Kluyveromyces lactis: one gene and its partners. The main gene of each other region encodes a partner of the protein of the gene in region 6 in a complex. Links are inferred from orthologs where the notes say so. Each region holds a gene or a part of one and is shown on either strand. Other genes may lie near its edges.

What was found.
Region 1: RPO26 (region 6) and RPB4 share a complex: the UniProt entries of both Saccharomyces cerevisiae proteins name them as parts of the RNA polymerase II (Pol II) complex. The link is inferred for Kluyveromyces lactis from reciprocal best matches to the Saccharomyces cerevisiae genes RPO26 and RPB4.
Region 2: RPO26 (region 6) and RPC53 share a complex: the UniProt entries of both Saccharomyces cerevisiae proteins name them as parts of the RNA polymerase III (Pol III) complex. The link is inferred for Kluyveromyces lactis from reciprocal best matches to the Saccharomyces cerevisiae genes RPO26 and RPC53.
Region 3: RPO26 (region 6) and RET1 share a complex: the UniProt entries of both Saccharomyces cerevisiae proteins name them as parts of the RNA polymerase III (Pol III) complex. The link is inferred for Kluyveromyces lactis from reciprocal best matches to the Saccharomyces cerevisiae genes RPO26 and RET1.
Region 4: RPO26 (region 6) and RPC40 share a complex: the UniProt entries of both Saccharomyces cerevisiae proteins name them as parts of the RNA polymerase III (Pol III) complex. The link is inferred for Kluyveromyces lactis from reciprocal best matches to the Saccharomyces cerevisiae genes RPO26 and RPC40.
Region 5: RPO26 (region 6) and RPC11 share a complex: the UniProt entries of both Saccharomyces cerevisiae proteins name them as parts of the RNA polymerase III (Pol III) complex. The link is inferred for Kluyveromyces lactis from reciprocal best matches to the Saccharomyces cerevisiae genes RPO26 and RPC11.
Region 7: RPO26 (region 6) and RPC37 share a complex: the UniProt entries of both Saccharomyces cerevisiae proteins name them as parts of the RNA polymerase III (Pol III) complex. The link is inferred for Kluyveromyces lactis from reciprocal best matches to the Saccharomyces cerevisiae genes RPO26 and RPC37.

Annotation. Positions count from the first base shown.
Region 1 is NC_006037.1:539,682-542,568, reverse strand, and holds RPB4 (DNA-directed RNA polymerase II subunit RPB4), read left to right. Parts: upstream 1-1,648; coding exon 1,649-2,251; downstream 2,252-2,887. Other genes in the region: serine/threonine protein kinase YAK1, read right to left, coding at 1-1,024; KLLA0_A05775g (glycosyltransferase family 15 protein), read right to left, coding at 2,301-2,887. UniProt on the Saccharomyces cerevisiae protein: DNA-dependent RNA polymerase catalyzes the transcription of DNA into RNA using the four ribonucleoside triphosphates as substrates. Component of RNA polymerase II which synthesizes mRNA precursors and many functional non-coding RNAs.
Region 2 is NC_006039.1:1,432,842-1,436,364, reverse strand, and holds RPC53 (DNA-directed RNA polymerase III subunit C53), read left to right. Parts: upstream 1-1,703; coding exon 1,704-2,918; downstream 2,919-3,523. Other genes in the region: rRNA-processing protein SAS10, read right to left, coding at 1-1,300; autophagy protein ATG9, read left to right, coding at 3,333-3,523. UniProt on the Saccharomyces cerevisiae protein: DNA-dependent RNA polymerase catalyzes the transcription of DNA into RNA using the four ribonucleoside triphosphates as substrates. Specific peripheric component of RNA polymerase III which synthesizes small RNAs, such as 5S rRNA and tRNAs.
Region 3 is NC_006042.1:96,463-101,187, forward strand, and holds the start of RET1 (DNA-directed RNA polymerase III core subunit RET1), read left to right. Parts: upstream 1-1,868; coding exon 1,869-4,725. Other genes in the region: TFIIH/NER complex subunit TFB2, read right to left, coding at 1-1,194. UniProt on the Saccharomyces cerevisiae protein: DNA-dependent RNA polymerase catalyzes the transcription of DNA into RNA using the four ribonucleoside triphosphates as substrates. Second largest core component of RNA polymerase III which synthesizes small RNAs, such as 5S rRNA and tRNAs.
Region 4 is NC_006040.1:1,252,394-1,255,556, reverse strand, and holds RPC40 (DNA-directed RNA polymerase core subunit RPC40), read left to right. Parts: upstream 1-1,529; coding exon 1,530-2,534; downstream 2,535-3,163. Other genes in the region: U4/U6-U5 snRNP complex subunit PRP31, read right to left, coding at 1-1,176; GLD1 (Gld1p), read right to left, coding at 3,033-3,163. UniProt on the Saccharomyces cerevisiae protein: DNA-dependent RNA polymerases catalyze the transcription of DNA into RNA using the four ribonucleoside triphosphates as substrates.
Region 5 is NC_006042.1:1,707,732-1,710,469, reverse strand, and holds RPC11 (DNA-directed RNA polymerase III core subunit RPC11), read left to right. Parts: upstream 1-1,812; coding exon 1,813-2,151; downstream 2,152-2,738. Other genes in the region: ORC2 (origin recognition complex subunit 2), read right to left, coding at 1-1,436; HEM13 (coproporphyrinogen oxidase), read right to left, coding at 2,599-2,738. UniProt on the Saccharomyces cerevisiae protein: DNA-dependent RNA polymerase catalyzes the transcription of DNA into RNA using the four ribonucleoside triphosphates as substrates. Component of RNA polymerase III which synthesizes small RNAs, such as 5S rRNA and tRNAs.
Region 6 is NC_006038.1:314,260-317,019, forward strand, and holds RPO26 (DNA-directed RNA polymerase core subunit RPO26), read left to right. Parts: upstream 1-1,573; coding exon 1,574-1,593; intron 1,594-1,724; coding exon 1,725-2,181; downstream 2,182-2,760. Other genes in the region: PZF1 (Pzf1p), read right to left, coding at 1-1,174; MLC2 (Mlc2p), read right to left, coding at 2,293-2,757. UniProt on the Saccharomyces cerevisiae protein: DNA-dependent RNA polymerases catalyze the transcription of DNA into RNA using the four ribonucleoside triphosphates as substrates.
Region 7 is NC_006042.1:1,291,567-1,294,508, forward strand, and holds RPC37 (DNA-directed RNA polymerase III subunit C37), read left to right. Parts: upstream 1-1,309; coding exon 1,310-2,068; downstream 2,069-2,942. Other genes in the region: DBP7 (putative ATP-dependent RNA helicase), read right to left, coding at 1-662; GCN3 (translation initiation factor eIF2B subunit alpha), read right to left, coding at 2,129-2,942. UniProt on the Saccharomyces cerevisiae protein: DNA-dependent RNA polymerase catalyzes the transcription of DNA into RNA using the four ribonucleoside triphosphates as substrates. Specific peripheric component of RNA polymerase III which synthesizes small RNAs, such as 5S rRNA and tRNAs.

The DNA of each region.
Region 1 (2,887 bases), on a different chromosome or scaffold from region 6:
TTCCTTGACCCAAAAGGTCCAAGACCAAATATTTTCTGTTGTGTTCAACCCCCAACACATCATTAACGTAAAGGATGTAGTCACTGTTGACATTATCATGTCCATTGTTATATTTCCCCTCATTTGGTTTTGTTAGCACTCTTTTCGGGTTCTTTGATGTCTGATATGCAAAATCGTCATTACACAATGAATAAGTGGTAGTTAACGACTTAGTTAGAGCCATCAACGGCGAGACCGTCTTGCTGCTTAATGAAGCACGTCTATATTTCGGTGTGGAATGTATAACGGGATTCAAGTCCTGTCTCGTAAATATCTTGTTGAATTTAGGGACAATAATTATTGGAGAAGGTGGCCTTGACGACGGAAGTGAACTTGAGCCGCCACGCGTGCTCATGTATGCACCTGCAGTAGCGGGATACACAGAAGAATTTATGGAGCCAGCCATATATCCCGCAGTATTAATTCCAGGTTTCCTAAGCTGAGATGGTTTCGTTACCTGCTGTGGCGAAAGTTGACTGCCACCAGTGACAGCAACCGACTGCCTTCTTTGTGCATCATTATAGTTGGGAAACGGTTGCTTCTCATAAAGGAACGGATCAGGCCCTGCCGCACGCGCAGGTGGTATTACTAAAGATGAGTTTCTCCTTCTGAACTGTTGTGAGGATTCATCTACAGCGTTATCTTCTTCGTAAGTAGTGGGCAAGGGGAAGTTGGATTGCTTCCTCATAGTAGACCTCTGAGACTCAGGTATCTGGGGAATCTCTTGCCATGGGTTTTTGAATATCGATTGACGTGGCGACTGCATTTGGAAACCACCAGCCGCATTTCCGCCTTGTTGCTGCCCTGCATATATATTCCCGCCTGCATTGGAGCTACTCCCAGCTGGCCCATCAGGCGCAATCTCTGGGCCCTGATTCTGGGTATTTGCCTGCGTCTGAGAAAAGTTCTGGTTCTGATTCGAACTCGACGCTCCCTGCTGAGAAGCCATGAACGCAGGGTTCCAAAGGCTATTCTTATCCCCCATTTATTATATATCAGATTATAGTCAACGTCTAACCACGTTATTGCAGCAAAATATTAGAAAAGCCTCTCTTCCAACAAAGAAATGACCAATTCACAACTCAAAGTTTCAACGGAAATACCTTTTAAACGTTATATCGACTGAATAACCCTGAGTTTCGCTTAAAGAACTTATAGCAAAACAGTAACAGAAACAAAACCAGCTAAAGAATGTACGCCTTCCTATATTAAAAAACAGCTAAATTCGAATCTGGCTATACCTAATCACGATGAGTACCAAGTACATACAGCGCTGCCCTAAAAATAAGCCCTGGTGTCCTGTACAAACAAACAGCTTTGCCAAGATTCACTTTAATACCTTAAATACAGAGAACATTCATGTCATGAAGTCATAGGGCCAATATTCTGATGTTGAGTTTTCGCATAATTACCGTTAGGAAAAAAAATGGAAATTCAATTACGATTAAAACGAGAGGTAAACTAACTTTGTCACTCGAAACATCAACTGGAGTTACATTTATCTAAGTTGTACCGTTGTCAAAGTGGCTGATTACTGGAATAGCACTTTTTGTGATTACACTCGTCTACTTTTTTGGACCGCTCTTATAGATAACAGCTCGAATTTACCATGAATACATCTACATCCACTGTTCAAACCAAGAGACGTGGGTTGAAGAAGTTTGTTGAAGAAGAGAATGCTGCCACTTTACACTTGGGAGAAGAGTTTAATTTGAAGCAAATCAACCATCAGGGGCAGGAGGAAAACCTAGTGGCTTTAAATTTGAGTGAGTCTCGTTTGATTATAAAGGAAACGCTACAGAACCGTCGGAAATTATTCAAGACATGGGCAAGCAATGGTGCATCAAATAAGGACGATGACATGGATGATGAAGATAACGTCAATGTGCATACCCAAACACAGGAGAAAGAGTTACAGGATATAGATAGATTGCTTGAACAGACCACTGGTGGACAGAATCAAGCGTTGAAGCAGACCATGATATACCTAACGAATTTTTCACGTTTCCGTGATCAGGAAACAGTAACCGCTGTATCACAGCTTTTATCATCCACAGGGTTGCATCCATTCGAAGTGGCGCAATTGGGTTCTCTATCGTGCGAAGATGCAGATGAAGCCAAGACTCTAATTCCAAGTTTAGGAACCAAGATATCTGACGAAGATCTAGAAAGAATCCTAAAGGAATTATCGAATTTGGAAACTTTATACTAAAACCTATGTACTATATCTTATATATATCCCCGGTTTCACCTCTGCTCCATCATCTAATAAATAGTTTGCCGGCACCGTTTTTCCACCATCTCATCAAGCAACTGTTTGGGTGGATGGGAATATTAGATTCGCCGTTAGGATCACACATACAACGGAGCACTAATCGTGCTGATATGGACGTGGGACATGTTTCAAATGGAACATGGCTGTATCCAATTTCATCAAAGTGGTGGATTTCATTCTTGTCTAGAAGTAATGAGGCACCTATACTGTGCACGGGTGCATCACCCCAACGTTCATAATAAAACCCACCCTTGGAGTCCAAGTAATTGAAATACTGAAGATACTCGTCACTTCTAAAGAAATTTAGATCTCCAATTTCGAAATTGGACCAGAAATGACATAGATTATAGTCTGTATTCGAATCAACAACAGGGAAAAAACGTCCCACCATCGTGGTATCCGTCAAAAAGCTTAGACTGTTGTTAGGATGTAGAATTTCTGGATAAGTATCCATGAATTCCTCAACAGCATCCCATAATGTCGTTACCGTATCCTCATATTCAAAGATAGATATCACAAATCCGTATTTCTTCTTCTTCTCCCGCATGACTTTGAATGGATCATATGGGAAAT
Region 2 (3,523 bases), on a different chromosome or scaffold from region 6:
CAGTCTTCTTACTAGCCTTTTGATCGATTTTGGAAGTGTAGAAACGTAACGTCTTCTTCCTTGTTTTCTTTTCTTGGACATCAACATCTGCAATCTCATCTTCAACAAAGTCATCAACGTCTTGTAATATCCTGTCTTTCTGAACTTTGTTTGCAGCTCTGTTCGAAAGTTCGATATCAAAGTTTTCTTCTTCTTCGCTTTCCATATCACCCTCCTCGTCCTCATTCTCATCTTCTGCCTCATCGTCACTGGCACTTGCTTCACTGTCCAGTTCATCCTGTTCTTGTAATAGTTCTTCATCAAGTTCACCAATATCCGAAATATTTTCTTCAGCGTCAGAGTCTTGCTCAAAGCGTATTGCTTCTGTGTCCGGTAGTTCGCTAGCTTGTCTCCAAATTTCTTTACACTCCAAAATACGCTCCATTACCGGATGATCTTTCATAGAAATGAAATCTTCGTTATTCTGTAATTCATATAAGAAAACTGCAAAATATGAACTAATTGTTCCAAGATATGAAGATAATGCCATAATTTTGATCTGAATCAATTCATTATTCTCCTCAGTTTGTTTGAGTTTCAGCTCGTCTAAAACGGGTGATAATTTACTGAATTCCTTTGATAAAGGAAGGTATTCTGGGAAGGATGTCTTCAAGAAACCTTCCTTTCTCTCTAAGTCCATGTTGAGAACATCCCTAAGGGAGATTTCAGTAGGACGTTCTTGATCCTTTTGATCTTTAAATTGACCTAAATCGAATTCCTTAGCTTCTTTTACCCATTCTTCATCAACTTCATCCTCAAGATAGTCTTCCATATGAAGGTCTTCCAAATGTTTCTTCTGTTGGCGCAAAGCTTCCTTTTCTATCTCTCTTGCAGTCTCTTCATCGTCCAAGTCATCGGCACCGTAGTATTCTGCCTTAGAAGCACCCCATGCGTTCTCATTGTCCAGCATAGTACCACTCTCTTCTTCTGCATTCTCACCAACGTCTAATTTCCTACCAAAAACCTTCTTATACACAGCTTCACCTGTTAATTCTTCTTGTTCACTTTCATCATCTTCAACTTCTTCACTTTCATCCTCACTATCTTCATCTGACATTCCCATCACTTCTTCTTCTTCATCCACTGAAAGATCAAAATCATCTTCTGGTTCCCTTTGATCAAGACCTGCGTCCTCAAGTAGCACTTTTTCTCTCTTGTTTGCAAAGTCATCGACCTCATTCATGCCATAGGCAACATCTTCTTCCTGGTCTTGTCTACGATTAGACCCTCTTTTTGAGACCTTTGCACCTCTCTTTGCCATATTTGAAGTACAATGTCCAGTACAATTTAAGTCCAACTCAATATACAGTCGATTACAGCGGCTGATAGTAGTTACCTGTTATGCAGCTTGTCATTCTCTTAGTTATACCTATTCTCTGAATTGAGATGAGATGAGATGAGCTTTAACTTTAAACAAAATTTTCCAACATTGCTTTTTCAAGATTTTTCACCAAAATTGAAAGCTGCACTACTACTGGAAGAGATCACAATGAGATGAGCAAAGTTGATGCGCAAATAGTCAATGCAAGGGTTAGTATCCAGTAACTAGTCTTCGTTTTCATATTAGGATTTGCTGTTGAACGAAGAAACGGTCGAGAATCGCAGTATTAAACGCTTGAGTCAAGAAGTTATTTGCATCAAATTGTGATAGGAATCAACTAAAGATGAGTGGACGTTTACCTGGATTGAACCAGGGGAAACCATCAACCGGAACCTCGCTGAAGTTTAAGCCCAAAGTGGTAGCTCGTAAATCTAAGGAGGAACGAGATGCTAACGTTCTGAAGGTAGAAGAGCCGAATAAACAGGTTGAGAAGAAGAAATATACACAGAAACCACAGGGCAACCAGAAGAGGCAGCCGAAGTATTTAAACAACACAAGAATTATCACATCAGGCCCATTGGCAGCTGGTAATTTCTCTGGAGGATCTAATAAAGGGAATAATGGATTCATTAAGACGGAGGGTTCTCAAAGCAGTCTTGTGCAACGCGGTTTGAAAGCTGTTTCTGATGATGAAGCAGAGGGATCGGACGCAGAAGATTCAAAAGCTGGGAAGAGAATTAACATGGGGAAAGAGTATACAGAGGCAGACTTCAAGAAGGAAACTGACGATCTGTTTGATGAAGATGAGGATTCTAATACTGATGCAGCCATGAGTGAAGAGACCAGAGCCTCTAAACAATTGGCCAATCTTTTCCCTGTCAGGGCAGTTCGTATCAATCACGAAAAGGTGGATTCTCTACAGAAAGTTGTCCAGGAATCCATGTCAACTTTGCAGACCAGGGAACCAACACCAGGACCTGTGAAGCTAGAACCAGAACAATCGGATGGTACTTTAAATGACATAGTGAACGAGAAGGAACAGCAGTTAAAAGAAAAACTGCGTTTGCTTCAACTTCAACAAGATTTCCAATCTGTTGACAGCGCAGAAGCTCTCAGGGAAACAAATTTGTTATTTGAGGATCATAAACATATGTACAAAAAGTTAAACAAGATTAACGACGTTCCAAATAAGTTTATGTTCTTCCAGTTCCCATCAAATCTACCTGAATTTCAGCCACAACCCCCAGTGAAATCCACCGAAGAAGATGTAAAGCCAAATGGTGAAGCAAAAGTAGATGAAGGAAGTGAACAATCAAATAGTAAAAACAGCAAAGAAACACAAATAGATTCACCTGAGCCTTTGATCGGAAACGTTGGTTCAATTAGAATGCATCGATCCGGCAAAATGTCAATCAAGATCGGGGACGTCGTAATGGATATCAGCAGGGGCGCAGAGTCTACATTTTTGCAAGACGTGGTTACACTAGATTTGGAGGGAGAAGAAGCGGAGCTACTAGGCCAAATCGACGGAAGAGCGATTGTAACACCACATATCTAATTATATAGATTTCTGCATGTACATGATAGTTGAAGAAAAAGCTCAGCAAATCAATTCGTATGATAACATTAATTTAATGTAGACAACTACATCAAGAATGGGAGATTCAAATACCACTGCGAACACAATCAGCAGCTACTGCATAGTAACCTAATAAAGATGCATCGCCTTTTCAGGTTATAATTCCTGAAATCAGAATAGTCATTAAGTACGAGTTGATGTTTGGATATGCAGGGCTCCATTACAAAACTTGTTCATGTATACAAGGATTCCCTTAAAAATGACTTCAACAAACACAAAACAAGGTATAATCGAAAGGACACTACAACCATAACCTTACCTCTCACGGTATTTAGTCAGTTGATTGAATCAACTTGAAAAGTTTGGATCAATAAAATTTTGGAAGTCTGAGTTATGACGGATAGTCAGGATAAAGTAAATGGTGGATCCAAGAACACATTTCTATCAAGAGTGTTTGGTGTGCACTCATCTGCTGTAGAAAACTCTTTGGATGCCGCTGAGATGAGCCATATTACTATGCCTACGGAACAGGATTTTAGTAACTATGCCGAGGATGAAGGTAATGTGAGGCTAATAGAATCCGA
Region 3 (4,725 bases), on a different chromosome or scaffold from region 6:
TTCTGCCAATCGCCTCATTCTCGGGTGAGCATGAGTTTCAAGGTATGCTATAATTTGTTCTGCAGTAATACCATTCAATAAAGCATTTCTTACAGATTCTCTCGTAAGCTGTCCAGTCACCATATTCGCAAATCTTGATTTTAGATGGACAAATAGCGATAGAATAGCAATTTGCAATGGGGAGTTAGAATATGAATATAGTTTGAAGTTAGTCTCTATAATCAAGGCACCGTCTTGAGTTCGCTCTGTAGTTTCATCTTGTCCACTGTCTCCTTCTACAGCTGTTGTTTCATTAGCTTTATTTAACACGCTGTCTAGAGCGACTGAGGCACTTCTGAATGCTTTTGTGTCGGACGTCAACAACGTGGCTAATCTGGTAGGATAAAACTTTGCATAATCCGATTGATTTTGATAGATTAATCCGTAATCTCTCATATCCTGTAACATTGTTCTCTGCGTATTACTTAGTTGATCGCACTTATACGCCTTCCCTAGCTGTAATGCACCTAGCATGAAAATGAAATTTAGAACATCCACGGGATCCATCTGTAAACTTTCTGCCATCTTCAAATATTGAAGAAGAAGAGTCCACATCTGTGCATTGACATCTTGCAAGAGAAATTGGAAACCTTGGTTAGTAATTTTGAGTTCGCCATATTCTGCCTCTTCCATTAGACCACTATGCTGCAATAAGTCTAGAACCTTTCCACCAGGAGTGTTTGTATTCGGTGTTCCCACCATGTAATGCAAGATTGTTTCCCACTTTTCTGCACTATACTGGTCCAAAGTAGCTGTAGATACGGGATTGGTATCATCATCCGCAACATCACCAAAAGAGTTATTGATTTCACCACCAGTTAATACATTTTTGAAAGATTTCTTGAAAATTGGATTCAAACGAATCAATAGAGGTTGTTTACTCTCACCTTCTATTATAAGATTCAAGGATTTCATCGATTTAATAGAGTATTGTAACTGGTATTTCGCATCTGGCTTGACCCATTTATCTAAATCTCTAAGCGAGACATCGTGGTCCTGAAACAGCATCGACATAATGAAGAATTTTGCCATGGGAGAAAGCAATCTATAAATTGCCAAACATGTCGCTGGAGACTCATATAATCTTGATTGGACTTGCTCTGGAAGACCTTCTAGGTAGTCATTAACGGTGGTCTTGAAAAGATTCAGACTCATAGTATTGAAAATATGCAGCTCAAGGCCTCTTGAAATAGCAAGAGATTAGAACCAAGTGAGGAGATCAACAATTTGGTCACGTCAATCGATAATGTTATTTCAGCCTAATACGATTTGCTGCATTCGAACGATGCAATGCATCCATGATATCCGATTTGGAAAAGCTCATCTGAATCAATAGTACTTAAGGTTGATACCATGTCAAATCCAGACATTCGCATATTGAAAGTAAAATATATGTCACGTGTATATATATCATGTAACACGAAGAAATGTATCTTGCACGTGACTGAAAATTTGTTGATGACAGAAGAAATTTCTTTTCACTCTGTCAGATCAATTTTGGAAAATGAAAAAGATCAAATCAAGCTCATCTCGAATTTGAAATAATCGAAATACGCCAATGATTAATGTAGATGAGCTCTGTCAATATTGATGGAAACAAAGAGAAGTGCATTTATTGGCAGTTAGTGACTGTACTGATTTGCTGACCTCAACAAAGATTTGATTAAGTGAAATTTACTGGTTGGCTCCTTCTTTTTTCACTTTCAGTAGAGTAGCTTTGTTTGGTCTTTTTGCCTCTTTTCTAGATATTTTGTTTGATTAACTGTTTGGAACACTAATTAAGTTTGGAAAGGGTAGCTTTCAAATATCCTGATTGAATATTCTCTAAAATGAACCACACTGACTCCCATAATCCTGATGGCTATGAAAAAGATGAAGCGTTCGATGCTCTTTTGAAACCCGTCTTCAAAGGTAAAAAGCTGACTGACGAGATCAACACTGCCGAAGATAAATGGAATCTTTTGCCTGCCTTTTTAAAGGTGAAAGGGTTAGTAAAGCAGCATTTGGACTCTTTTAATTACTTTGTGGATGTTGATTTGAAGAAGATCATCAAAGCTAATGAGGTTATATTATCTGATGTCGATCCAGAGTTTTACTTGAAGTACATTGACATTAGAGTAGGATACAAACATAACGGCAACAAAGCTATTATGACCCCACCACATGAATGTAGATTACGAGACATGACATACAGTACTCCTATCTTTGTTGATATTGAATACACCAGAGGAAGATCAATTGTGTTGCATAGAGATGTGGAGATCGGTAGAATGCCCATAATGTTGAGATCAAACAAATGTATATTAGATGGTGCAGCAGAAAATGATATGGCCAAATTAAATGAATGTCCCTTAGATCCAGGTGGATATTTCATTGTTAATGGTACTGAAAAAGTCATCTTAGTTCAAGAACAATTATCTAAGAATCGTATCATTGTGGAAGCAGATGAGAAGAAAAACATCGTACAAGCTTCTGTTACATCTTCCACCCACGAAAGAAAATCTAAGACTTACGTAGTCACCAAGAATGATAAAATATACTTAAAACATAACTCTATCGCAGAAGAGGTTCCAATTGTAGTTGTTTTGAAGGCTTGTGGTGTTGTATCTGATTTAGAAATCATGCAGTTAGTTTGTGGTAATGATAGCAGTTATCAAGATATCTTCGCGGTGAATCTCGAAGAAGCTGCCGAACTAAAAATATACACGCAACAACAAGCCTTAGAATTCATTGGTACTAAAGTTAAAACTGTCAGAAGACAGAAACTTTCCATCTTGCAAGAAGGTATCGAGGCCATCGCTACGACAGTCATTGCTCATCTGACAGTGGAAGCTTTAGACTTTAGAGAAAAAGCATTATACATTGCAATGATGACTCGTAGAGTCGTAATGGCTATAGATAACCCAAAGATGGTTGATGACAGAGATTATGTTGGTAACAAGCGTTTAGAATTGGCTGGTCAATTGATGTCATTGTTATTTGAAGATTTATTCAAAAAGTTCAATAATGATTTCAAGGCAAACATCGATAAAGTCTTAAAGAAACCAAATCGTGCTGAAATGTATGATGCCTTACTAACCATTAACGTACATTCCAACAACATTACTACAGGTATGAATCGTGCAATTTCAACTGGTAACTGGTCTTTGAAACGTTTCAAGATGGAAAGAGCAGGTGTTACACATGTCTTATCCAGACTTTCTTATATTTCAGCATTAGGTATGATGACAAGAATATCCTCTCAATTTGAGAAATCTAGAAAAGTTTCAGGTCCTAGAGCCCTACAACCTTCTCAATTTGGTATGTTATGTACCTCAGATACTCCAGAAGGTGAGGCCTGTGGTTTGGTTAAAAATTTGGCATTAATGACCCATATCACCACCGATGATGAAGAAGAGCCTATAAAGAGGATTTGTTACTTGTTGGGTGTGGAAGACATAAGTTTAATTGACAGTGCTTCAATTCATTTAAATTATGGTGTCTACTTAAACGGTACAATCATAGGGACAACTAGATTTCCTACAAAGTTTGTGTCTCAATTCAGATGTTTAAGAAGAACTGGTAGAGCGTCAGAGTTCATCTCTATATATACCAATACACATCAAAAAGCAGTTCATATTGCTACTGATGGAGGAAGAATCTGTAGGCCGTTGATAATTGTTTCGAACGGGCAGTCTTCTGTTACTGCAGACCATTTAAGATCTCTTCTGGCTGGAAAATTACAATTCGATGATTTCTTAAAACTGGGTTTAGTCGAGTATCTCGACGTTAATGAAGAAAACGACTCGTTCATTGCATTATATGAAAAAGATCTATCTGAGAATATTACGCATCTAGAAATTGAATCATTTACTGTCTTAGGTGCAGTTGCTGGTTTGATTCCATATCCTCACCATAATCAGTCTCCACGTAACACTTATCAATGTGCGATGGGTAAGCAGGCTATTGGTGCAATTGCATACAATCAATTCAAAAGAATTGACACCTTATTGTATCTAATGATATACCCTCAACAGCCTATGGTGAAAACCAAAACGATTGAATTGATCGATTACGATAAACTTCCGGCAGGTCAAAATGCTACGGTGGCAGTTATGTCCTACTCCGGTTATGATATCGAGGATGCGTTAGTTTTAAATAAAGCGTCCATTGACAGAGGTTTTGGACGTTGTGAAACTCGTCGTAAGAACACCACCGTGTTGAAGAGATATCCAAATCATACTCAGGATATTATTGGTGGTATGAGAGTTGATGAAAATGGTGAGCCTATATGGCAACACCAAGCATTAGGCCCTGATGGGCTAGGTGAAGTTGGAATGAAGGTTGAAAGTGGACAAATTTATGTCAATAAATCTGTTCCAACTAATGCGTCGGATAGCATTCTAACTCAAACACAAGCTCAGTACAAGGAGACTCCAGTGGTATATAGAGCTCCAGAACCTTCTCATATTGATCAAGTTATGATGTCAGTTTCTGATAATGACCAGGCTTTGATCAAAGTTCTATTGAGACAAAACAGAAGACCTGAATTGGGTGATAAATTCTCATCGAGACATGGTCAAAAGGGTGTCTGTGGTATCATCGTAAAACAAGAAGATCTTCCTTTCAACGATCAAGGTGTAGTACCAGATATTATCATGAACCCACATGGTTTCCCATCTCGTATGACCGTTGGAAAAATGATTG
Region 4 (3,163 bases), on a different chromosome or scaffold from region 6:
CATGGTGGTCTGTTCCTCTTTACCGAACTCCATTCTGTTTTGCATTTGCCTTAGATGCGACATCTTGAACTGTTCTTTGTACTTACGGAACCTTCTACCAGCTCTTTTCTTCTTTGGAGCGTCTTCTGGGATCGGCAACGGCTTGATGTTACTGATATTCGGCGGATCTATTATCTTCTTGAGTTTTTCAACGATTTCATGCCTCCATTTCAAGCCCAGCTTCGAGGCATCTGAGTTCCCATCTGAATTCCCATCTGGGTTAATGACTTGATTCCCCATGGTGCAATCCGCTCTCGCAGCAAGAGCAACCTTGGCAGAGACCATTCTAAGCGCCTGTTTCTGGAACTCAGGAGGCTGTGTTTGTACCACGTCTGTATAGAATAGATATCCCTTTTGTCGTACCCCAGAGATATCTAACGATTTGCCATGCAACGTTTTGTCCTGGCCAATGGATGCCAAATTACAACTGGGAACCACACTTAGTTCTTTAACACTACCACAATGTGTTACCAGTTTAGCTGCAGTATCAGGTCCCAATAAAGCACATAAGTTTGGAGCTACCATTTGTATTCTTGTCTCAACATAGTGTGAGACGTTGTCCCGTAAGTTGTACAGAATATCGAACCAATGGATGGCCTTGGAGAGGAGATCCTTATCAATTCGAGCACCCTCTTTGAAATCTGTCTTTAGAGACATAGATACCACAAGGGTTTCCTCCTTCGATAGCACTTGGTCTAATTGCACGTTGGGAATATCCTGTTGCAGCATCTTGACCACGTCGACGTATTGTTTCCTTTCAGGGACAATAGTTTCCAACCCAGGGAACTTGGCCTTGTAGGTATCTACAATGCATTGAAACACCATGGAAAGCTCTGTATCGAATAAAGGCATCAATTGGCCCAGTTTTATGACATTGTAAGGCTCTGTCGTATGGTTTGTTGCATCTCGTATTATAGTTTCGTGCTTGGCAAGTTGGATGAGGTCATCTAAATCCGCGCCTTGGTGCCAGAATTGCGCGTGAAAGTCAGATATTAGGTTGCTAACACTAGGAGAGGGTAAAATATCCGATTCTGTGGCTATACCACTGGTTATACCACTGGTTACACCACTTAACCCATCATCCAAGCTTTCCTCATCGCTGACACTTCCATAATCTTCGTCATCTAAAAGGTCCATTATCACCTTGTGAAAGAGTAAGACAGGGGAATATGGTTATCCAGTTACAATCCAACTGTAAAATACCACATACTGAACTAACTGAGGATGGTCAAAAGAGCAGTAATCGACTAGTACCTGCTCTCGAGTAGCTATCTCATCGCATTTCTACCAATCTTTAATCATATATAATCACTCTATACGATGTGATCTTTTCTTTTCCAAAAATTTTTCAGTTCTTTAAAGCGATGAGATGAGCTTGAGATGAGGTATCTACACCGATGAGACGGACCTTGACCAGTGTCATAGGGCTTTTCTGAGGTCGTTTGAGAGCTCAAGAGGTAGCATAAACGTAGCAATACAATTGAAAAAGGATGTCCAATATCGTTGGTGTTGAATATAACCGTGTGACGAACACAAGTTCAACAGATTTCCCTGGATTTAGTTCGGATCAAGACAATTCATGGGACTTGGAGAAGTTCAAGGAAACTTTTGACGTACAAATCGAGAGTTTGGATGAGCGTGAAGTGAATTTCGATTTGGTTCATGTCGACACATCGATTGCTAACGCTTTCCGTCGTATTATGATCTCAGAAGTACCATCTGTCGCTCCAGAATACGTCTACTTTTTTAACAATACGTCTGTGCTACAGGACGAAGTGTTGGCGCATAGAATCGGGTTAGTGCCATTGAAGGTGGATCCAGATATGTTGAGTTGGGTGGACACGTCATTGCCCGAATCTGAAAGGTTTACAGATGAAAATACGATAGTGATGTCGTTGAACGTGAAATGTACCAGGAACCCAGATGCTCCAAAGGATTGTGAAGACCCCAAGGTTCTTTATAGAAACGCGCATATCTATGCTAGGGACCTTAAGTTTGAGCCTCAGGGGAAACAGGTGGAACAATTTGCCAAGTGTCCCGTGGTGGCAGCGGATCCAGATATCTTGTTGGCCAAGTTGAGACCAGGTCAAGAGATTTCGTTAAGGGCACATTGTATTCTAGGTATCGGTGCAGACCATGCCAAGTTCTCTCCGGTGTCGACAGCTAGTTATAGACTATTACCACACATCCAGATCACACAGCCTATCACCGGTGATGATGCCAAGAAATTTGTGAAATGTTTCCCTAAAGGTGTCGCAGATGTCAACGAGAAGGGTGAAGCTTATATCAAGGATCCAAGGAAGGATACCGTGTCCAGAGAGGTGTTGAGACACGATGAGTTCCAGGGGAAGGTTAAGTTGGGTAGGGTGAGAGACCACTTCATCTTTAACGTGGAGAGTTCTGGTGCTATGACACCGGAAGAAATCTTCTTCAAATCGGTCAGGATCTTGAAGAACAAGGCGGAATACTTGAAGAACTGTCCAATCTCACAATAAGAAGCCAATTCGCATGTTCTCTATTTAATATCATCCACTCCCTTCCATACACAGACAAACCGTGCATCATAATTCCATTTCTTTCATTCCCTGTATCATACGCATTAAGCCACTCAGTGAACAGATTAGGCACTTATATATATTCATATATAAAGAAGCCACTACATCTAAACTAGTTTAATGTACATTTGTTTTTAGATTCAACTGTGTTACACCATCGCATCTACATTTGTCGGTTCAAACGTCTCCTGATCCTGCGCCATTGGCCGTGCTTTGGTTATAAGATTTTCGATCATGGCTTTTGGATCCACTTCGAGTATCAAGACGTTACCATTATATCCGTCACTCAGATCACTCTGGGCTTTCTGTGTATAGGTTTCGTCCGCGACTTCGTGATCTTTGAATGGTGAGATGGATAGTACAGTTACGAGGAATAGCCCTACTTGAAAGAATAGAATTAGCAGTTGGTAGAAAAGGTACGATGCGTTACCCTTAAAATTACTCGAGGGCACTCGTTCTCCAATATACTGGGTGAACCCAGTGCCTTCTCAATTCCCCCTCTATTATGCCTGTTCCATGGTTAAACGGCGATGGGTAGTTTTCTAGATGTGATATCCCAGGCATTTTGA
Region 5 (2,738 bases), on a different chromosome or scaffold from region 6:
TTCGCATTAAACAAGGTACCTGAATCTTTGGAAAAGTCGATAGCATTATCGGTTTGTACTGTTTCTACGATGTACGGCTCAAAATTTGTGATATCGTGGTAAACAAAGTTGAATGATTGAGCTCTGAAATGATCCCAAAGGAAAGGAGCTTGTATATGGTCGACACTTGCTACGACACAGATTTGTTTGATTTGTGCAAGAATACTCATTCTGGTTTGAAAATGTTCTCTCCGGAATGACGGACCGTCCAAGTTATGTATCAAAAGAATCATCTTCACCGTAGGAGGTCTTTTCTTGAAATATTTTGAAAGCCTGTCCATTTGCAAGTCAATTCGATTATCCCAATAATTTGATTGACCTTGATCATCAATAGTCTCGCCCTCTACTAAGATTTTGAATATATCCAAAAAGATGTTCTTAGAGAGAGTGGTGTACCCGTTCATTACAAAAACCGGTATACATGGATCATCTTTTTGAATATCCGGGTTTTGCAACAAGGCGATCTTCATAGAAAGAAAGTTGAATGCAAATGATTCGAGGAATTTCTTCTTCGATCCGATACCATAGAATAATAACGTAAATCCCTGCAGTAACTCGAAAGTAAACTGCTGAAAGAGTGTTTCATGTATTTTTTGTACTGCCTTTGTCGATGAACGATGGAATATATCATTGGAAAGTTGAGAAAGAATGTTATATTCATCTCTGGAAATACTTGGTGCCGAGGACATCGAGTTCTTGGATCTTTTATCAGTTTTTAGGATCTTGGTCTGATCTATGAAACCTTCGAAACCATCGAAAAAATATATTTGAGATTGTTCATCAGATGTTTGGTCATTATTATCGCTCTTTGGCAACTTAGTCGGTTTGAAATTAGGGTTCAAGTTCAATTTCAGATGCTTATACTGCTGGATATCGTCGTATGCAAGATCATCGTCTATAATTTTATTCCTTTGAACTGTATTTCTGGTAGTCTTTCTTTGGGGTGATGGTTCTGCATTAAATGTAAGTTTTCTCCTAGGCGACTTATTAGGTGAGCTTTCATTAGAATCTATTTTAATTTTTAGATCCTCGTATTCGTCGTCATTGTGTATCAATTCATTAGTATCTGACACATAGTCAATGGCATCATCTTCCTCCAACTTCACCCTCTTGGTTGTTTTCCTTTGCCTTCGCCTGGGAGTTGCAGTATCTGTCGATGAGTGCTTCCTACTCTCTTCATCTTTATATTCAGTCTCAATGCTAACAGACTCTAATGTGAGCGATCGTTTGGGTGACTTAGGTCGTACCGTTTTGGAAGGCGAAAGAAAATCAAAACTTTTAAGTTTCTTCGGTGACTGATATCTTACTTTGGAAGGTGATATGAAAATGTCTTGGTGATTTACAATATCAATGTCTTCTTCTTCTTCCTCATTATCACTGCACTCTTTCTTCGTCATGTTTTCAAGGTTTAACCGCTCCAAGATAATCAAATACTCTAAAGTCTAGAGAATGGAAACTAACTTATAAATGTGGGAGTTGTTCTTCTATCAAACCTCGCCCACAGGTATTAACCCTATACACTATATTTGACATACAAACCTTAAATGTCAACATAAATATCGATTCAAAGTTAAAGGCATGAAGCTCTACTTTTTTTTTTCTGAAAAATTTCTATATGAGATGAGGAAAGAATTAAAACCTACTCTCAATAATTATAGCGATGAGGTTCATTTTAGAGTGTATGCGATAACGTGTTGAAGGAGCTTATGGGCAGGTAACGGTGCGTTAACGTATCGTGTTTGAGGAGTCTGACATTGAGAATTAAGTTGTAGGATGCTTTCGTTTTGCCCATTATGCAATAACATGTTGTTGGTATCAAAAGCTGATTCAGGTCTGTATAAACTAGCATGCGGATCATGCCCATACCAGTTTTTAATTGATGGGATAGAGGTATACGATAGAAAGAACCTCCCTAGGAAAGAAGTTGATGATGTCTTAGGTGGAGAAGGTGCATGGGATAATGTTGACCAGACAGCAGCACAATGTCCGAACCATGACCAATGTGCGGGTGAAAGAGCTTACTTCTTCCAGTTGCAAATCAGATCTGCAGATGAACCTATGACAACTTTCTACAAATGTGTTAACTGTGGTCATAAATGGAGAGAGAACTAGAGATTGTGTATTTTTGAAATTTACTTTGATTTCGATACGCATCAAACAAAATATTATAGATCTTCTTAGCAGTTATTACATCGCTTAGAGCAAAAAACTGACAAGAAGATAAATGTTCGGCTTTAATCGCTGCCATTTGTCTCTCGCCCAGCTAAAAACGCATGCTTAATCTTTCAAATGATGAAAGGTAGATCACGCTTTCATTAGGCTCGCAAAAGGAAGTTGTTAGGGTTTGATGAAACTTCTTCTGAATCAAAGTGTAATATAATGTATAAATCTACAAATAGATTGAACAAGACAAAATAAAAGTATTGTCGACGGCCTGACAGAACCATTTCGTGCAACGCTGTATGGTACTAACGACCGACTTGGTTTTTGAAGCGTAAGAAATTAAGATCATTAGAAACTAAGAATTAAATACATGAGACGTTACATAAATAAAGGCATTCAAACCCATTCAACAGGGTTCTTCAATACTTGGAGTAATTTATCTTCTCTAGAGTCTACTTCAGGATGATGGTCATACAACCACGAAGCAGTCACAGGCAAAGACATCAAAATACTTTCGACACGGGATCCTGGAGTTC
Region 6 (2,760 bases):
CAAGCTCGTCAACTTTCCGTTTCTTTGAGAAAGAGGGGAAATCAAGTAACGTTTTTTTCCCTGAACTAAAACTGTCCTCCGTTTCTGATATCTTTATATCTGTATTCACTTTAATATTCGTATCTTCATCAGCGTCCGTCGGCAGTAATAGCAATTCTGGATCTACATCTTTGTGACTTTCTTCATAATGTTGTACTAGCTGAGTTTTCTTCGCAAATGATGTATCTGGACATGAAGAACATTTCCAATTCTTAGTGACCAAACTCTCGTCATGAATCATCATATGATTCCGTAAACCTGATTCAGCAACACAAGGTTTCCCACAAATAGGACATGGTAATTTCGGATGGCATTGTTTAATATGTTGTTGTAAAGAAGACCAAGTGGAAAATACGTCGGTACATGAAAGAAAGTCACATTGGTACATTCCGGTAGATTCTGGGTTGTGATGCTTATCTATGTGATTCTTCAATCGATAAGGCCTTTGGAACGTCTTGTTACAGTGAGGGCAGGTAAGTTTCTTTTCGTGAACGGACAAGATATGCGATCGGAGTTGTGGATGTTTGTAGAATGATTCGTTACATCCCTCATATGAACAGTGGAAGGACTTCGTATGTGTAATTTCATGTCTCTTTAACTGTTGTCTGGTTGTGACACCTTTCCCACATATAGAACATGTGAAAGGTTTATCATCTGTATGAGAGAACATGTGTCTATTCAGATGCGATTTTTTCGCAAATTCTTTGCCACAAGTGTCGCATTTAAACGGTTTGATTCCATGATGCACGGTGAGCTGATGCTCCGTGAGCAAACTCGGTCTTGTGAACGATTTGTTACACCCTTGATAATCGCAGAAATATACTTTAGAACGCTGTGACGATGAAACTGACACAGTGCTAGTCACACTGGCCATACTCATAACACTATCCATGGACTCTGATCTGGTTAGCGGCGGTGTAGGTACACAACATTGTTGATCATCATCGTTTTCACCAACAACATTCTGCCGTACCTCATTTTCCTTATTGTATGTCGGCGCGACCATCACAGATTCATCAGTAGCTACTACAACGTTGCCTAAATAGTCCATAACTCGGTTGGGTATTCCGTGTATCGGCGTGAATCTCCTTACCCAATCGCACCTCATCGCCTGGGTTTTTTCTATGAATTTCATTTGAATCTTATTTTGTATTTTCAATTAGGGACGTAAAACTGTAATAATCATACAGAATAGACAGGGAAAAGAAGCAGCTACCACCTCCTTCTGAGAACTTCAGTAACTGTGTACTACTAGCGATTCTCAAAGGTAATGCAAGCAAGACAAATAGGATACCATAAATGGGCTGAACCAGTAACATATTCATACAGTTCACCACCTCATCTCGAAAAGTGTTGATAATCGTTTCTTTTACTGTCACAATCGATTTTTGAAAAATTTGGAAAAATTGGAAAAAGCTTCAAATGAAAATGAGCTAGCGAGTAACACAGTAACACGATGTGGACGATAAATTGTCTTATCCAGGTCTTTATTGTTGATCAGCGGCATCAAGGATTAGCATCTTGATAGATAAAGATGTCAGACAACGAGGGAGCGTATGTTATAGCGATTTAATAGGTGTTTTTCCCTATTATTTCTTCGTAGAAGTTGTCTTCATGAATAGTTTTACTAACTAGATGAGTATGCGTTGCTGAATGTCAATTCAAGCACAAACTATCTAATACAGATTTAATGACGGTCCAGAGAACTATGAAGATTTTGACCAAGAGCATTTCTCAGATTACGACGGATTTGATGAGGGCGAGGGTAAGTTTGGCGATGAGAACGGATTAGGCACAGATGAAAACGGGAACACGATAGTTGCTGGAGGATTTGGTCCAGAAGAGTTCCAGCAACAGGAGGCTCGTCGGAGAAGAACTTTGAAGGAGAAGGCTATCGCCAAGGAAGATAGAACTACAACACCATACATGACAAAGTACGAAAGAGCCAGAATTTTAGGTACCAGAGCCTTGCAAATATCTATGAACGCACCAGTGTTCGTTGACTTGGAAGGTGAAACCGACCCATTGAGAATCGCTATGAAAGAATTAGCAGAGAAGAAGATACCATTGGTCATCAGAAGATATCTTCCTGATGGATCGTTCGAAGATTGGTCGGTTGAAGAACTTATCGTGGACTTGTAGAGAGCATACCATAGGCATCTTTAAAATAGAAAACCCCAGAAATATTAATAGTAATATATGTGTATATTATATATGAAAAGACACTGTAAATTTAGATATATCCACTGCGAATCATTCACTGATAGATTGAACGAACTTTTCTCCCTTAAATACTCTTCGGCCAGATACTTGTTTCGCAGAAAAGTGTGCCAATACACGATCCAGTTTCGCAGGGTCTTCCAATCCGACGTCCTTTAGACATTGTTCAAGCTCAGCAGAGTCACACAAGAGCTCTTCATTATCTGAGAATGCCTTAAGTGCTTCTCTGATCTCGGTTGGGTCTGGCATTTCACCCATACATTCGCTCATTAACGACAGATACGCTGGAAATGTTAAAGTTTCGTCAGGAGCTAAGCTTAACATTTGTTCCACATCTTCTTTATTATCTGGTTTACCCAATCCTCTCAACATCTTTGCAAGATTTGATTCTGATATCATTCCATCTCCATCGTCATCTATTAGTTGGAATGCTTCCTGCATTTTCTTGATCTGCTCTTGTGTAAACTGGGAAAAAGTGACCGAACTACTCTTATTCATCGC
Region 7 (2,942 bases), on a different chromosome or scaffold from region 6:
GTGATATTTTGACCCAACGATAGTATGCTTTGGAAAATTGGTAATAAAAACGCCAATGTCTTACCAGAACCAGTTTGTGCATGAATAAACAAGTCGTTTTGTGCTTGTAAGAATGGTGGGATAACCAACTTCTGAATCTTAGTTGGCTTAGAAATCTTCATCTTGACGTTTAAGTGTGAAACCATCGTGTCAGTGATACCGAACGAATCGAAGGTGTCACCAACCAATGGTGCATTGGAATAAGTCACTTCGGCTTTTTCATCATGAGCATTACTATTGGTAACTGTGTCAATATTTCTACTGGACGTGAACAAAGAGGAAACGATTTGCGAGTTTAGCTGTAATGGTTGCGTTACCCTAGCTGGTTGTTCTACATTAGAACTGTTATCAAATCTTGATCTCTTAGGTTCTACAGGTGCCTGTGCCGAAGTTGAATTCGAAGAGGAGGCTTCCAATTCTTCAAAAGTTGGTGCTCCATCAGATTCTAATGGTCTCTTTTCACCCCTGACCCTCGGTTTACGACCTTCCATCATCATTTTGGCCTTTCTCCTGTCCTTCCATTTACCACCGGTAATTTTACCTCTACTGACTGTTTCACTAGCATCACTAACGTCAGTTGTAAAATTTAACAGCATTCCATCATCGTCATCATTGAAACTCATCTTTACCTACTTGATGATCGTTGATATGGGCTGCTGAGCGACGTACAGAGACTTTCACTTCATCTAATGTCAGCTCATCGCACAGTTAAGTCCTACTTCCATATTAAAATTTTCTATGCTTGATGTCAAGAAAAAGCAATACAAAGGTAAATACTCACAGAATTGGATAAAATACAGTTAGATTGGCGACTATCAGGATCGTTTGAACTGGACATTTGACACTGTAGTGGTTCGTGCTATGTACAGGTCATGTTATGTGCTGAAATTGATATCTCTTTGGTTTCATTACTGATTCAATTCTACAAACCTTGTCTGAAGTTTAATGTTAAAGCATATTATATACACGTAGAAAGGCAGATGGACAGAGACAAAAGTCGCTTATGACAAATATTAATAAGGTGGTGATGAAATACTCGCCCAGCCGGTATGGAACCAGTTGGAAGGTGATAAACCATCCTTTTACAGACGCTTCTCTCTTCTTGTTTCAATGATCACAAGACACGGCTCATCGCATCGATTGAAATTTTGACATTTCGGATGAGAAGGCTCACTCATTAGTACAACTAATGAGTGTTGAACCACTTGTACAACCAACTATTGTCCTGTTTCTATCCAGGTATCTGTAAGAGGGTGTCAGTGGTCTCAAAATGTCTAATGGTTTGTTTGTTACCGATGAGGACGGTGATACTGAGATGAATGGGAACGGTAAACTCGATAAGAAGCTCCAATCATCAGAGATTCTTAAAGAAGACGATCCAGTAGTGAATGAAATACCCATTAATTTAACGGTTGGACCTTGTCCATTGCATGTGTTACAGTTTCCTAACAAACCTAAAAGACTGGCGAAGAATATGGATGAACATCCTCCAATTGCTGGTGTACGCTATAAGGATGAATCAAGCGTTTGGGAGATAGATATCCCATTGAATACACAGGTCTTCTTCGACAAAGAAAAAGCTGCTGAGTCTTGGAACAATGTCGACGTTCAAACTTTGAAAGGTGTGGCTGTAAGCAACGACATGTTGCAATACGCAGGCGTTATGAAACAAGGACAGCTATATTTAATACCAGTAGAGAAAGTTGCCCAAATGAGACCATACTTCCGTTACATCGATTCGCATCAACAGGTTAAGAAGGACGAGGATGCCAAGGCGAAACCTGCGAATCCAACTGCCAAGAAAAACCAGGTAATAACAATGTCAGTGAAGAGTAGCAGCGAAGCGAATCAAAATAGACTAGGAGGTGCATTGCTAGCTCATAAGGTAGCAGACGAAGAGGAATTCAAACCTTTGGAATGGAAGGACGATACTTTCGAATCGTTTGTAGAAGAAGTTACAAGTGAAAAAAGTACTGTACCATTAAAACCAATGGACAACGACGCTGTGTATCTATCAAAACTATTTTAATTAATTATCGTATTTAGTAAGTATAAATATATATTAAACCGAGAAGGGATCAAATTCTCCTTAATCATACCACATCTTAATCAACTCCTCAGAAACAGCACTAGGTGTCAACCCTCCAAGATCAGTGATCAAAGCTGTGATGTATTCTTGACTTGTAAAGTCGACAGAAGGCCCACTCAATGGTTCTTCATCGTCTTCTATACCGTTTTTGCTAAAATCTAATGGATCTCTTTCCATTGGAATATCATCTGACGAAAGAGGGAACATACGTACGAACTTATGCGACTCACTAACCACATAGAATGGTTTCCTTGCATTCTTCGCCAAGACACCGATAGAATACGTTCCTACTAGATTGATAATACCTCCAGATTCAGCAACACCTTCGGCTCCCACAAAGATCTTGTTTACCTTATGGATGATCGTACCAACAGCATTATCTACAATCATTGTCACTGGGATACCCTTCTTTTTAAGTAAATGATACAGTTGCAACCCTTGGCCAGACGGTCTGGATTCAGTGACGATACATCTAAATCTGATTAACTTCTCTGCTGCATGACTTAGTAAAGAGAAAACAGCTCTGGAAAATCCATGCACTAATATGATATCATCATCGGATATGAAATCAATCCCAATCTCAGCAATTCTATCTCTTGATTGTTTAGCTCTACTGACAAATAAATGCCCGTTTTCAATCAAATGCTGTTGACAATTTTCCCAATCACCGTACAAATGTGTGTTCTTCAAGACAAATCTCATAAATATATCACAACCTGCACGTAACGAAATTGAGTTTGGAATAGATGTAGTCAACTCTTCGATAGCTAGCTTTGTCGATTTGATCATCTCTGCAGATGTTTTGGGATTCTTA